2 linked regions of the Notamacropus eugenii genome follow. The protein of the gene in region 1 purifies or fractionates together with the protein of each later gene. This does not show direct contact. Links are inferred from orthologs where the notes say so. Each region holds a gene or a part of one and is shown on either strand. Other genes may lie near its edges.

What was found.
Region 2: the proteins of RAB11FIP1 (region 1) and RAB11B purify together in Homo sapiens (affinity purification with mass spectrometry; 3 studies listed by BioGRID and IntAct, counting the BioPlex papers as one, with this or other methods). This does not show direct contact. The link is inferred for Notamacropus eugenii from reciprocal best matches to the Homo sapiens genes RAB11FIP1 and RAB11B.

Annotation. Positions count from the first base shown.
Region 1 is NC_092872.1:623,088,933-623,096,680, reverse strand, and holds the start of RAB11FIP1 (rab11 family-interacting protein 1), read right to left. Parts: upstream 3,209-7,748; 5' UTR 2,935-3,208; coding exon 2,564-2,934; intron 1-2,563. UniProt on the Homo sapiens protein: A Rab11 effector protein involved in the endosomal recycling process. Also involved in controlling membrane trafficking along the phagocytic pathway and in phagocytosis. Interaction with RAB14 may function in the process of neurite formation.
Region 2 is NC_092875.1:52,176,335-52,184,597, reverse strand, and holds the start of RAB11B (ras-related protein Rab-11B), read left to right. Parts: upstream 1-5,087; 5' UTR 5,088-5,253; coding exon 5,254-5,293; intron 5,294-8,263. Other genes in the region: ANGPTL4 (angiopoietin-related protein 4), read left to right, coding at 1,849-2,027. UniProt on the Homo sapiens protein: The small GTPases Rab are key regulators of intracellular membrane trafficking, from the formation of transport vesicles to their fusion with membranes.

The sequences.
Region 1 (7,748 bases):
AGATAGAAAGAACTATTTCCCCACCTCTTCTTTAATGAAAGACAGAGCTCATCATCTACCTTATAAAAGCTGATCCCGCAAGACACTCCTTCAAAAATCTTCACATTAGAAAAGGCTAAAAAAGCCTTTTTCTTCTTTAATTTTTTTATCTTTCAAAGAACTTAAAAAAAGGAGAAACAAGAGGGAAGTAGCATCAGTCCCTAAATGAGCCTCTGGAAAGTCTGAAATAAGGATCTTCATCCACTTGGCCAGGATATTTCTTAAGTAAACGGACTGCACAGGTGCTTCTGGCCAGCAGTCCATTCCCACCCCTGGAATGTCTGAAAGAGTAGCGCCATAGCTGCCCATAACCTGTGGCATTTTCTGCCGGGTGAGGTTATGTATTTGAGAAAACTTCTTATCAGAACACTAAAACAGGTATATAGGAATTCAAAGAACAAAGCAACCCTCTGTAGTTTCAAGTAAGGCTGAATTGAAAATACCAGCTGCCACAGGGACCTGGCAGCCAGGATCAGTGGTGCTTAGTTATAAGAAGCCTTCTATACTCGTTGGCTTACTTGGGTTCAGTAATGTCTGTACAATTTGTTAGTATGGGTGAACAGACACAGCCGGGGTAGTGCTATTACATACTGTGCCCATCAGAAATGCAAGATCATTTGAGACCCAACTTAGAATTAATCCTTTTAGCTGACACCTTTCTTTGCTAAGGCTGGACCTTTAGAGGATCCAACTGAATGATAACACTTAAAGGTGGGAGGGCCCTTGGTAGCTACCTAATCCAACCCTCTCATTTCACAAATGAGGAAATGCTGGAGTCAAGAAGACTCATCTTCCTGAGTTCAAATCCAGCCTCAGACACTAGCTTCCTGATCCTGGACAAATCACTTAACCCTGCTTGCTTCAGTTTCCTCATTGTAAAATGAGCTAGGGGGAAAAAAAAGCAAATCACTCCAGTATCTTTGTGAAAAAAAATCCAATTGACGGCACAGAGAGTCAGGACTGAAAACGACAACAAAAACGACTTGCCCAAAGTCATACACATAGTAAGCAATATTTGAACTAAAGTCCTGGGATTCAGGCTATGCTCTCTTGATTCCTTCTTAAGATGGGTGGTATGAAATACAAATAGAAACAGAGGCCACTAAACAATACCTAAATATAAATAAATAACAAGGATTCTTTCCTTGTGGGTCACATATTGACTTAAAATGTAATATCTGTTTTACTGTATTAGTATTTATCTTGGTGAATATTTCCCAGTTACATTTTAATCGGGTCCTGGCCATACCCTAGCAACTAGATCTAGCTGCCTATTTGACCTCTGCTTTAGATGACATTTATATAACACCCAGAGGATCCTGTCCTTTCCTTCAAAATACCTTCCCCAACTAGCTTGATCCTACTATGAATTCAGCCCAAATAGTGACCAATTCTGTCCCTCACACCTTAATGCTGACTAATTTTTCACCTTTTTCCTAGGAGATGAGATCTGCCCATATCAGTACACTACTAGACTTCTGATATGGGAGTAAGAAAAAGCCCAGAGAGAGATAAGTGTCAAAAGCAAACAATCACCTATTTGAGAATTTTGGGGATGGCTGGCCTTTTCTCCAAAAACATTGCATCTAAGATAACTAGAAGCTAAGGTCTCTTTAATAGGCACCACACCATTTCTAATTTTTCTTCTAAATCTATTTGTTCTTTTTTCTCCCCTTATTATCCTGTATCCTGCTAGCCACAACAGGTATTTTTTACTTCAGATCCATTTCCTTTGCCTTCAGTTTTCCACCCACTCAGCCTATCTAGGGCATTGCCTAGACATGTGTGCTCTTTAACCTTTTAGTCATTTCTAGTTTCTGGATTCAAGTTCCCTTATCTCATCCATGGAAAGACAAGTTCTGATTCACTTCTGCCCATCCTTAGTTCAAAGTTCCTAGTTTCAGCATCATATACCCAGAAGCCACAACACAATTACTAATCAATCACTGATATAGCCTATACGTGATACCCTTTATAAATAAGAACTCCAACAACTCATTCTGTCGCTGGGATGGAGGGAAGAGAACATGATGCGTAAATGTCACCTCCATACCATTTATAGAATATGTTATTATAATGTTACTTGGCCATCGAGTCATAACAGGCAATTCTGTTTCTCTTTTTCACAAAGAATAAAAATACAGTTTGTTCTACAGCAATTTTCGCAAATGATTTTCCCCCTTTTTTGCAGAAACACCCCAAAGGATAGAAATAACCATCTATAAACCAACCTCATTCTCCTTTCAAAATTTCTTTACCCCCTGCCCCCATAATTCGCATTCTCCCCAAACCCTCCTCCAACTTTCATGTCTTCCCTTCCCCCTCAGGGGCCCCTTCCCTCCCCCCCCAGCCACACCTTTTCCCTCCCCCTTCCCAACCCTAAATGACCTCTCCATCCATCTCCCCCGGCGCCCCCGCCTTCTCGGCGGACCCTCCCCACCCCCAACAGTCCCTCCCCCGCCTCCCGGCCCCCAGCCCCTCCCCCTGCAGCAGCCCCTCCCCCGGACGCGCGGCGCGCACGCACTGGGTTTTCCGTCGGCCCTGGTCGCGGTGCAGCTCGCGGAGGTCCACTTCGGCCCGGCCGAGGAACTTGTCGAGGCCGAGCAGGGCGCGGTGCAGCACGGTGAGCTGCAAGGTGGCGGCGTTGCCGGGCCCGGCGGGCAGCCCCAGCGGCGGCAGCTCGAAGGTGGCCTCCTCCCGCCACACCGGCGCGCCCAGGCTGCGCTCCGACACCGAGGTCGCGTACTTCTCCTTGCCCACCTGGATCAGCGCGTACGCGTCGCTCGTGCCGCCGGGGCCCTTGGCCCGCAGCCCCCGGGCCTGGAGCACCGTCACCTGCACGTGCGTCGGGGACCACGCGGCCCCCAGGCCCCGGCCGCCAGCCGACAGGGACATGATGCCGACGCTGTGGCTGGCGATGTCGGCGCCGCCGCCCCTACCGCAGCCTCCCGGTGACTCTGGCTCTGGGGTCACGGCCCGCGGCCTCTTTAAAGCTTCCGGCCCCGCCCCCGCGCGCGGCCCCGCCCCCCACCTGTCCTCGCGCCCGCCGCGGCACCTCCGGGAACTTGTTTTGGCCCCGAGTGACCACGCCCCTCCCGGCTGGCGGAGGCCGGGCTGAGTGAGGGGCACGTCCGCGGAAGGAAAGAGGGAGGCTGGCTCGCCCCGGCAAGCCCGGAGTGTCCGAGGGGCCGACCCGGCTCCTGAGAGGGGAGACCCTGGATTGGGAAGGATTTGAACCCGGGCCGCCTGCGCACCGGGTCCGGCACTTCTCCCGGACTAGGCAGCGCGAGTTAGAACCTCCATTCGGGGCCTGCCGGGTGCCGGTGTTGGCGGTTTTCATTCGTGGAGGGCGCACGAAGGAAATAGAAGAAACGGGCCCTGCCGTCCGGGAACTCAGACCGTAAAGTTAGGGAAGTAGACACGCGTGGGGAGTTCTCAGCTTCTGGCGTTCTCGGCCAGCCTCTTGCCCTGACAGCCGTAGTCAGACGCGGCCAGGCTCCGGTCTCCTCGCGCCTTCCCTGCCTTCCGCTCGGCCGACCCCCCGCCGGGGCGGCATTACCGGGGCTTCCCCGAGCCCGCTGCCCGTGGCTCTCGGTGACCACGAGCTTGTCACCGCCGCAGCCCGCAGGGAAATGCCCCCGCTCCCAGCCCGGGAGTCCGGAGGCACGCTGGAGGCGGGCCACGACTCTGGACCCCTCACTCCGGGATCGATTCCCCAGGAGGAAGATCTTACAGAACCGCATGGGAGTGGGAGAAGAAGTCATGCCTGGAGAATCTCCCACGATCTCTAGGAAGACTGGGAGTGTGCCTGGTATTTTTAAAGCCACAGGACTGTCTGGAAGGATGTGTTGCTTCTTTGTGTGACAGTGACAGACTTGGGGTCTCTGGGAGACAGTCACAGACTCATAAGGTTTAAGGTTGGAAGGGGCTTGAGAACCCAGCAAATTATAACTTGAGGGATGTCTGAAATAATCCAGACCCATTTTGATAAACTAAGAAGCCCCAGGGGTAATCAATTGGAAAGCAGTGTTCATTGTGGGAGGGAGGTGGGTAAAGTTGTCTCTAGAGTCAGAGGTGTTGGGTTTAAATCTCTTGTCTGATACGATCTAATTTACCAGGCTTGAAAGGTTAGGATCTTTGACTGCTTCCATTCCTCCATCATACAGTGGCGAAGGAAGAACCATTGATTTTTGCAACCTAGATGAGGTTACAAATTTGTCCCCTTTGTATGTAACTGAAGACAAGATTCTGAGCTTTCAATGACACACAGAAGATGCTATATAGCTTAGTGTTTTCATGGATCTGTAATTCCTTCCATCAGTACAGATCAAAATCAGTCCATATTTTATCATATATCATTCTTGTCCATGGAGAATCAACTCAATATTCTAGAGGCTTTTTCCAAAGTTTTTTTTCTTTTTTTTTACATTTCATTGGTGCCCCAACGCTGTCCATTATGTCTCTTGTTCCAATGACGTGACCTGCCCACATCCTTTTCAATTGCACATTTCTTCTATTATTTATACATAAAGTACCTGAACGTATCAGGATATCACTTGTAATGAATTATACAAAAGGTATTAAATGTATGTCTGAAAAGGTATTTGTAAGTCAAGAACAGAGTTGGAAAGTACCTTAAAGGTTATGAAGTCCAGTGCTTTCATTTTACAGGGAGAAAACCAAGGCCTAGAGTGATGCAATAACTTGCCCAAGGTCACATGAATAGTAAATAACAGTCAGAGTCAGGAGCCTAGATCCTTTTGACTCCAAATTTTTTGCTCTTTCTGGCATACCACACTGCTGGTCATGTAGCAAGAGGAAGGAATAAGAAATGGAACAGTTCCCGTGTTGCTCTGTTATCTATATAATGTAAAGGAAGACCCCCAGTATTTTGAATGTGTTCTTGCAAGGAATTTATAGGGGCTCAGGAGCAAGAGTTGAAGAGAATAAGAAGGAATGGATGAGTTGTAACCTATACCACTAAAGGGAATGTCCACATCAATGAAATTAGTTCCCTATTGCATATATGAGAAGTATCCTTTTTTATGGTTTCTAAATTTTTTAATTGTGAATTTATACAAAGAACAGAAAATATGTGAATATGTATATGAAATATACATACAAATATTTGTGAAATACACAGAAAATATATGTATATGAAACTTTGAACTTATTTATATTTTGTGGCTTTTAATATATATTTAACATAATAGTAACAAAACTACCCCACTTGTCTACGTCTGATTCTTCATGCTATGTTTTGTAAATAAATCATTCTGGAAATACACAGCAGCCTACTTGTACCTACTATTTTTTTCTCCGTTGAACTTTGGGATACCTATTCTGATTCTTCAGAGATTGTATTTTTCCAGAATTTATACCATACAGCATCACTGGGAGAACATTCTGTGAAAGAGGTGGATTTTAAATCCTGCAAATTGGCAAAGGTGATAAAAGATAGTTCACTCAGTTTTAGAGGAATTGTGGAAAGATAGGCACAGTAATGCATTGTTGGTGGAGCTGTGAATTGATCCAATCGTTCAGGAAAGCAATTTGGAATTATACTAAGAAAATAAGCAAAAAACAAAACAACAACAAAAAAAACCCCATAATCTTTAACCCAGAGATTCCACTGTTAATCACATACCGGACATTCAATGACAAAAAGGCTCATATGTACAAAATCATTTATAAGAGCATTTTTTTTGTAGTAGAAAAGAAGTGGAAACAATAAATGTCCATCAATTAGGATAAACAAATTGTGGTACTTGCATATAAAAAATATTACTCTGCTATAAGAAATGATGACTATGGTCAATACAGGAAGCAACTCAAAACTGTCTAGTCAAAGCAGGAAAAGAAGAAAGAAGCTTCTCCCTTTTATACATCTATTAAGTTATCCATTTTTCTGGTTCTGCAGTCAATTACAAGATTTTATCATCTCAAAGCAAAGCCCTATATTCTTGAGTCACATATGACCAAAGTTCCCTTACAGTTCTTGGAATGGTCTTCAGTGTAGTCATATGCTAAGTGCATCCAGTACTAAGATGATAGAGTCTAAATCATGGGTGATGAAAAGAGTTTATTATAAAAATACAAACAAATTAATTCCATTTTCCATCTATTGTGACTTTTATCTATTTATCTTGATACTATGTAACCCAGTCAGTGCTCATACTAAAACCAAAGACTTATTTTTCCTACCCTTATGTTTTGCTATTTTGTAAAGTGATAGTGATCATAATCTTCTGTGATTCTGTTCTGTGATATTTTGGTTGCTATATCTCTACTTGCAGAAAGATCAAGTGTTTTCTGACTAAGGTGATTTCCAGGTTCTTTTTTCCTCCTTGTGGTGACTGCTTTATATCAGTTACACTTTTCAAGGAAATGATGATGATTCAGGTCAATACTTTGGCTTGATATCAACTACTCATTTGAATAGGTCTAGTTAAAGCTGTTGCATTTGTTCTCAGTCATCTTATCTTTATTTTTTCTTCAAATTTGATGTGGATTTCCACTTTTGATCTAATTAGTTGATAGTCTGGTAGCACACAGCTGATTGTCATGAGCCCCCACATCAATAACCAGTTATTTCCTGTCTGTCAAGAATAGTTCATTTTTGCTACCACAGAAGTGCTATTATGACAATTTTGGTATGAATGGCATTTCCAAAATAGTCATAGCAGCACATTTTAGTGGCAGCTAAAAACCGGAAAGTGAGTGCACTCTCCTATAAGATACGGTTGATATGTTGGTTGATTTTGCTGAAACAGTTTAAAAACTTTGTCACAAAGGATGACTCAATAATGTTAAAGAGAGTGCAAGGAGATACTCAGAAATGAAGTTGATAGAAAAACAAGAAGTAGCCATTTCTAAGTTACTATCCTTACTTCCCCTTTCAACCCTTCACTTTTGTTACCAAGGCTACCCAAGTCCTTATTTTCTCCTGCCTAATCAGTTACTATCTTCTTCCATTCAAATGTTTTTCACATTTATTCATACCTCTCCATTTCCATTGCCACCACCCTAGTTGAATAGTGGATTGCAACAATTTCTTAATTGGTCCTCCTACCTCTGGTCTCCACCTCTACCTGCAATCCAGTCTCCATACTGCTACTTAATTAAACTTCTAAAAGCTCTACTCTCAACCTGTTACTCCTTCGCTCAAACCTTCAATTTAATTCCAGCTAGATTAATAAATGAATATATAAATAAAGCCATCTATTAATGGATCTTCATTTGTCTGTTACGTTAAACCAGGGAACATCATGATTGGGAGGAACTCATCTAGTCCATTTCGCATCTACATCTTGAATACCTTCTACAGCATCCTTGATAAATGGTCAGCCAGAAAACTTTTAGTAATGGAGAACTTACTACTTCTAATGGCTGCCCTTTCTGCTTTAAAACAATCCTAGTTATCTGCTTTGCCTTAATTCCTACCAACTGTTTTTAGTACTGCCCTCTAGGGCTAAGCAAATTACAGAGAGGCTAATTTCAGTTGGATATAGGGAAAAACTTGGTAATTAGAATTGTACAAAATTGGAATAGGCTGTCTTGGGAAGTCAGCATTCCTCATCAGTGGGAGTCTTTATCTGAAAGTCAAATGAAGAGTTGTCAGGGATAATATAGTACTAGAAGAGATTCCTGTTCAAATAGAGGCAGGACTGGATGACATCAGAATTCCCTTCTAACTCTAAAATTCATTG
Region 2 (8,263 bases), on another chromosome or scaffold:
ATGGGCACTCAGTCAGTGTCTGAATTTGTTGTCCCATCCACAAATCCCCAACTCTTATCCATACCCAAAATATAGCCCATATCTGAGCTTCAAACCTTATCCTGAATTGCAATCTCAATTCTAATTGCAACTTCTCGGTCAAAATCCCACATCCAGCTCTATGACCATTTCTCCCTCCCTGAGAGCCATGGAACCATACTCACTCCCCAGCTATAAACAAATCCCTCGCCCTGTATAGCTTCAAACCCATCCCTAATCTCCCATCTATAATCAAATTCTAGTTTCAACCTCAAATTCCACACCCGTATGTGTTAGTATGTGTGTATAAGAGTGTTGTTTATTCACTTCAGTTGTGTCTGACCCTTCTTGACCCTATTTGAGATTATCTTGGCAGAGATACTGAGTGGTTCTCCATTTCCTTCTCCATCTCATTTTATAGATGGGGAAACTGAGGCAAACAGGGTTAAGTGACTTGCTCAGGGTCACATAGCTAGGAAGTGTCTGAGGCCAGATTTGATCTCCTGATTACAGACCCAGCACTCTATCCACTCATCACCTGCAATTACATTCTGGGCTACATCAACTGATTTGGTGGGCAAGGGAGATGCAGAAATAGAATTCCATCCCCTTCCTATCCTGTTCATACATATGATAACTACATAATAATAATGGTTATTATAACTAGCAGTTCTGGAGCACTTTGAAGTTTGCAAAGTTTGCTTTACAAATAGCATCCCATTTCATTCTCACATAGCCCTGCATGATAGGTGCTATTATTTTGGTAGGTGCTATTTTACTCCCAATTTTCTAAGTGAGGAAACTGAGGCAGAGTTTGTGACTTGCCCTAAATCACACAGCTAGTAAGTGGCTGAGGCCAGATCTGAATGCAAGTCTTTCAATCCAAGTTCTGCATTCTGTGCACTGTAGTAATTTCATCAATAATGAAATCAACTCAACTTACATTTATAACTAAAAAGGACCTTCAACATACAGATAAGAAACTCTGCATCCCCTTTATCATAGAATCATGGATTTCGAATTAGAAGGGACTTCAAAGGTCATCTAGTCCAACCCCTCATTTTGTAGATGAGGAAACTAAGGCCAAGAGAAGTGACATGTCTTGCCCAAGATTGAACAGCTAATAAGTAGCAGAGCTGAGGGTTTGAGCCTCAGCCCTCAGACTCTAGATCCAGGGTCATTTCCACTGTGCCACAGAGCTTGATCACTGATTATTGGAGCTGGAAAAGAGTTTGGTGGTCAACGCAGGATGGACAATGGAAAGAGCACTGGATTTGAATTCAGAGGACCCAGAGTTCAGATCTTGGCTCTGCCTCTAACTTTCTGTGCAACTTTGGGAAAACCAGATAACCTCTCTGCACCCTCATTCCCTCATCTTTAAAATGAGAGGGTTTAAACTACGTGACCTCTACCTTTCTATCTCTAAATCTATCATCTGTTCTAACCCCCACCATTTTACAAATGAGGAAACAGGTTTAGAGAGGTTAAGGGACTTTTCCATGATCATACAAGTAATAAGGAGCAGAACCTGGATTTGAATGTAGCACTAGATCTGGAGTTTTCTACTATTCCACACTGCTCATTTTCAGATGAGGAAATTAAGAACCAGAGAGAGAGGCCCAAGGTCACACAGAGAGCAAGAACTAGAACCCAAGGCTCCTGACTTCCAGTCTAGTACTTTTTGAGTATTTTTTTTCATTCTACCTCCTTGAGTTCTAACTCCAATCCCACAGCCCTTTACCTAGACCTCTGAAGCAGACCTGTGCCTTTGTAACTGCACTTTCTCCACACAATTCCTGACCCTGCTTTCCTTTTTCCCTTTTTTTTCAGGGGGCTGGTGGTTCAGTACTTGTGGCCATTCCAATCTCAATGGAAAGTATTTTCACTCCCTTCCCCGGCAGCGGCACCAGAGGAAGCAGGGCATCTTCTGGAAGACTTGGCGGGGACGCTACTACCCTCTACAGGCCACCACCATGCTAATTCAGCCCACAGAGGGTGCCAGCTCTTAGCCTTGTTCTGAGAGCCTTGCAGGGCTAAAGAAAAGAGCCAGAGTTCAATGGGTCAAAGACTCAACATAAATGCAAAAAGAGAACTTTCTCACCCTCTCTTTTCCCAGCACCCATGGTGACAATAGTCTCCCTGGACATATGCTTGGGCCAGGGTCAGGACTGAAAAAGGTACTTCACCGAGAGAGGAATAAGAGAGGATCCAGGCCCAGCCTTGGAATCTAGCCCTTCCATCTTGAAGAGACAGTGTTTACTCATTTCTTGCCCTTCTTTAATCTGTTGCCCTCTTAAGGGTAAACCTATGGTACCAACATACTAATAGGCAAGGGCTTTCCCTCTCCCCATCCACCCTGTTACACAGAAGAGTTTTATAAGCACAAGTGAATGGGAGGGGCTGGGTTGCCTAACCCTGGGGACTAGAGGGGAAGAAGCCCAGCTTCTGGGCTCATGACTGACTAGGAGTCTTGCCTAGCTGTCTTCAGTCATATTGACTGGACTAGGATCACAGGACCAAGAACTGGGGGATCTAGAATGGTGACCTACCTCAGAGCATCGCTATTTTGAAGCCCTGCCCTGGGGTCTTATGAGGGGTCAGGGTAATTTGTAAATAATTGCCTTGTAAAAAAATTCACTATCTTTTGGGTTTTAGAGTCTGGCTGGGATTACCAGGCCTCCTCAGATTTGTTTGTAATAAAAGGAATGAAAGAATCTCAAGATTGGAAGGGTCATCAATTCATCCAGTCCAAACAGGAATCACTAATGTGATCTCCAGAAGCATTCACTTGCAGATGTTTAGGGATGAAGAATTCACCACTTCATCCCTAAAAGGCCTGTTTTTGCACAGCTCTGCTAGTGAGGAGGTTCTTTACATCAAGGTGAAATTTGCCTCCTATGGAAGGCCATGCAGAACACTGTTTTCTACATCATGGTGTTTCAAGTTATGTCTTTCCTCTTTACACAACCCCACCCACCCAAATGTTCTCCAGTCAAAATATCCCCAGATCCTTCAACCAGTCCTCGTATAGCTTGACTTGGAGGCCATTTGTCTCACTGTATTCTTTGAATGCATTTAAGTTTTTAAGAAATCAATCAACCGGCCTTGATTAATATGTTCTTGGCACTGTGCTTTATGTGTGAATATTCACTATATTATGCAAGTCAACAACTGAAAGAGAAACAGGGAAGGAAAAGATAACCCATGTTAACCAGGATTAAGTGAGCTATAGTCCCCTCAGTCTCAGAAAACATCATAAGGGAAGGTCAGCCTGTTCTCCCTGCACCCATTCCTCCTTACTACCATCTTACATATTTGTCTGGAGACCCTGCTGTTAACCACTTCAGACTCACTGTTTTAAAGAATGTAGGTCTTGCTTCCTTTTTAACCTCCTTCATGGTGTACTAATCTACCTAAAGACTTGGGACCTAGGCTCTCACCCAAACAGACGGTATAGGCAGTGACTAGGCTTACCTGGGAGGCTACTGCTTATCTGATTCCTCTTTTTGTGGTTTTCGAGAGGTAGGAGACAATAAAATTTTAGGCAAGCTTTTTGAAAGATGCTTTGCAAATATCTCATTTTTGTTCTTGTGAGAACCCTGGAAGGTAGGGACTATTATCTCTAGTTTATAAAAGAAAACTGAGGCAGGCAGACTAAATGACTTGCCCAGAAACACACAACTCATCGGTGTCAGGCTATATTAGAACTCAGGTCTTCCATACTCCAGGTCTAGCTCTCTATGCACTGAACAACCTGTCTGCCCATGCCAGGTTTGAGTGGAGCCTGTCTGTATTAATGGCAAATGGTGACCAGGCAGTTCTCTGCAGTAGCAGCATGATTGTTTTAGGTTTCATTTTTTTTTTTTTTAATAATAACAGGGTCAGAGACTTAATGAAGTTGGACAGGACCTTTGCAGTCCAAACCCTCATTTTACAGATGAAGAAACTGAGGCCCAGAGAGGAAGAGGACAAGTGGCTTGCTGGAGGGTACACAGATAATATATGACTGAGGCAGGTCGTCTGACTTCAATTCTACTCCTTTCATCACTGCCACGCTTCCTCTGTCATCTAATTTGTATTATGGTTGTACCATGTGTGGACTTGATCTCTATCTCACTGAGACACCTCTCTGCCCCACCAGATTCTTAACCAGGTTATGCCTGCTACTGAGGGCAACCTAATATACTTGGCAGATATGTCTCTTGAGATCAAGGGGGCATGACTGGGCAAGACAGTGGCTAGGGGCTGGATGACCAGTGGGTCTGAGATGGGGTCAGATTGGGGTGGACAGGCAATTAGGTGAGGTGGCAGTGAGCAGTGGGGTGCTGGTGAATGTGAGAGGTGGTAGTCAGTGGGGGAGTGACCAGGCAAGGATAGATGATGGTCAGCTTCGGAGTGCTGGGTGATTTGTAGGTAGGGTGTCTGGGGTGATGAGTGGGCTTCTGGGATGGTGCGATGGGGTGGGGTGACCCTTGGGTCTCCGGGGTGACGTTCAGCAGCGGGGTGACCTTCGGCAGTGAAGTGATGCGGTGGTCTAGGAGGGGGTCATCGGGGGGCTAGTGAGACTCGGGGGTGGCGGGCAGTAGGAGGGTCTCCGAGGGGGTGCTGAGCAGTGGAGGGATGGGTGGTCAGCGGCACGGTAGCCACAGAGCCTCGGAGGTGGTGGTCTGCAACTGGGGCACCCGTCAGTTCAGTCCTTTTTGTTTCCCTGAATTAATGACGCCAAAGTACTCTAGAGGAAGGAGCTGTGCCGCGCGCGTGACGTCACGGCAACGTTACTCCCTTTTCAGTCCTCAGGCCTAATAGGTCATTTCCTTTTTCAGGCTCCGCCCCTTCCAATCCCAGCCCTTCCCCGTGGCCTACGCCCCTTTCCTCCCGTAAACTTTTCTCTCTCTGCCTTTCATTGGCTTAGCGGAACATCAATTTCCTTCTGTTTCTCGACTCTGCCTCCCGTCTCTTGTGTCCGTCTCCTATAGGTTAATATCACTGTCACTTCAGGAAGCCCCTCCCCTCCCCTTCCGTCGGTTTCAGGCCCGCGGTAGGTGGAAGCAGTGGGTTGGTCCCACACTGGTCGCTAGTTCTGATAGGGTAACCACGGTGTCAGTCGCGCCCCCGCCCCGCGGCCGATAGGCCGGTGGAACTGTCGTTCGGCGGCCGGTCGGGCTCCGCCCCCCAGTCGGGTGTTTGTGGTGGGGCTGCGGAGACGGGCCCGATCCCGCCGGAAGAGCCGAGACAATGGGGACCCGGGACGACGAGTACGACTACCTGTTCAAAGGTGCCCGGCGCTGAGGCGGGGAGGGCTGAGTGAGAGAGCGGACCCTTCGGGGAGTGCGGCCCCCTCCCTGCTGGCGGCCTCAGTCCCGGCGTCGCGCTCCGCCGGGCTGGAAAGGGACCTCCGCGGGCCCTAGCGGGGGCGTCGGAACCGGAGCCGAGGCCTGGACCGGGGGCGAGGACGAAGGGGAGCTGACACGGGGTGTCGGGCCCGGAGAGGGTGTCGGGCCCGGAGGGGGCGGCTGCACAGAGCCGTCGGTGTTACTGAACAAGGGGGTTGCGGGGCCCTGGCTAGAAGGTGGGGGAGGGGTAGGTTGCACTTAGTGGGGAGGGGGTTGGTGACTGCTGAAAGGGGGAGGGGGGCCGGGCGCGGTAGGTACTGACAGCTGGCTGGGAACCGTAGTGATGGTCCTGGAACTCGGGAGGGAGCCCGGGAAGAAAGGGGGCGGGGACCTAGGAGCAGAAAATAGTGTGGGTCGGGGTCGCCCGGGTTGGAGGGATCCTAGGACTCGAGGAGGAGGAAGAAGGAAAGAAGACCAGGGGGTAGAGAAAAGCTGCGCGAGATGTTCAGGAAGGCGACTCTGGGGAGCTGGCTGGGAAGACACCCCGGAGACTAGGCAGGGGCTCGAGCCGGGCACCTCTCGTTGACTTGACTCCAGCCTGGCTGCCGAGGCCAGTTAAGCCCCTGCGAGGTGAAAGACACTGTGCTAAGCGCTGGGGAGACCGAGGAGGAAAAACAAATGGGTTGGGGTCACTGGACAAGATTCTTAAGACCGCCGAAAGGAGAAAGGGAGTCGGGAGGAGATACTGGGGAGCAGGACCAGGAGGGAAGGCAATAGAGGATATCTTGGAAGGAAAATGGGGGGAGGGGGAGAAAAATTAGAGAATGGAGAGAGACAGGGAGCTTGCAGAGAGGAAGGGAGGGAGATGGGGAAAGTGTAGTAGAGATTTGAATGGAGTATGGAGAGAAAAGAGGAGTGAAGATTGAGGCCAGGCAGGTTGAATGCAGGAGGAACTCATTTAAGAGGAGTGATTGTGTCAGATATGGGAAAGGCAGAGAGAACTAAGGTTCACAGGATGGAAAGAGAGCATTAGGACTGAGGATAAAAGATATGTGGAGTGATTTATGTAGGGGGAGCTTGTAATGGGACTTAGCCGGTGTTGCTATACAGGACTTTACTCCTGGAGAGGGATGTCTGAGCAGCCTTGTACTCTAGATAAAAGACAAACTTCTCTGAGGCAAAAGAATCCAGGGCATTAGAGTGGGGGATCCCTAGATTAACTGGGATCCTTCCCTCACTACCTTTACTTCTCAGACATACTCAGAACTCCTTGACCTGGAGATGAGGTGCTGATTCTGACTGATCTGACTGATCAGGAATTGGGCAAGCTTTCTTTTCTGAAGCCAGAGGGCTAGGCATTAGACCTTCTAAAATTCTTACCATTGAGTAGCCAACAGGCTAGCCTGGAAGTGCCCAAGGGTTCCAGCAAAGAGGTACTAGGTAGACATGAAAAATGTCTATTTTTCTTATCCCTGGGTCTGGTACCTTGGACTGTTGGCTCTTCAAAATACTTGTTCCTTGGTTTTTCTTTCATCTGAGACTCTTTAAGTTAAATCAAGGATGTGATCTCTTTTTCTTCTTGTGCCTAGGACTGGCTGACCGCTATATTAGTGTATTCCAAGTCCTTGTTCACTGTGCTCTGTCTGAACTACAAATCCTCCTGGCCTCTGCTCCTCTGCTTTAGTTATATCTCCTCTGCTGTCCACCTCATCATCACTCTATTTTTCCAACACACTCTTATTACTAAAACTCCTAGAGACCCCAAATGGAAAGGGCTCATTTTTCACAGCTGACCTAAGAAGCACTGCTCAGGAAATCCTTCTGTCTCATAGTACTGAAATGTCAGTTACTTAAATATTTATTTTCTAAAGACATTTATTTATAAGAATCTCTTAATCTATACATGCCTGAGTTCAAATATAACATTTTAGAAAAGAAATTAATCTTGAGTCCCCCCAAATTTTCTCAGTTACAATGATTTAAAAATAAGTTTGTAAAAAGAATTTGATCACACACTTTTAGACTCCTGTATAATAGTAAATGAGATCCTCAATATGTGTTTCCATGCATTTAGTATACAGGATGTCCAAAAGTATTAGGCTTTGCTAGTTTAAAATTGCACTAAGACTTTTGAAACACCCTGTATGTGAGCTGCTACAAAACAAGCCCTGCTCTGCTCAGCACTGATTTCAGGTACCTGGTGTTTATTTGAGCCCGTGCCCAAAGATTGCTGTCTCCTGAGTTATAGGGTTTACACTTCCACTGCCTTCAGCCTTCCTTCTGTGTGTCCTTTGGCTTTCATGGATCCCAGTTATTCAAGTCTTCTGCCCTCTTCCACCCAAAAGGAGTATGTTCATTATGTCACGAACAGTTGTCAGAGATGAAAAGTAATGTAGTATACCTTTTAGTCAACAAAGTAGCCTAACAAGCATATTTTAAGCACTTACTATGTTCCTGGCTCTAAAGGATACAAAGAAAGGCTAAAGCAGCTCCTGCCGTTGAGGGTATTTTAATGTGGGAGACAACATGTGTATAACAGAGGCATGTTCAATATATCTGCATGGTAGATGGTAGGTAATGTGAGATGGGAAGACAGCTAAGGGAACCAGGAAAGGTCTGCAGAAGGTGGCAGGGTTTGAGCCGAATATTGGAGGAAGCCCTGGAAACTAAGAGGCCGAAGGGGGAGAACAGAGCATTACAGGCATGGCTGCTAGCCAGTAGAAAAGGACAGGGAGTCATATTTGATTAAGTGCAAATAGGCTAGTGTAGCTGGATTTTAGGATGCTTGGAGGAGAGTAAAGTATAAGAAGATAGCACTTATACCAGGTTGTGAACAAATATAAATGCCAAGCAGAGGACTTTATAACCTTTGTAGCTGAGTGGAGGATATATTAGAGTGGGGAGGAACTTGA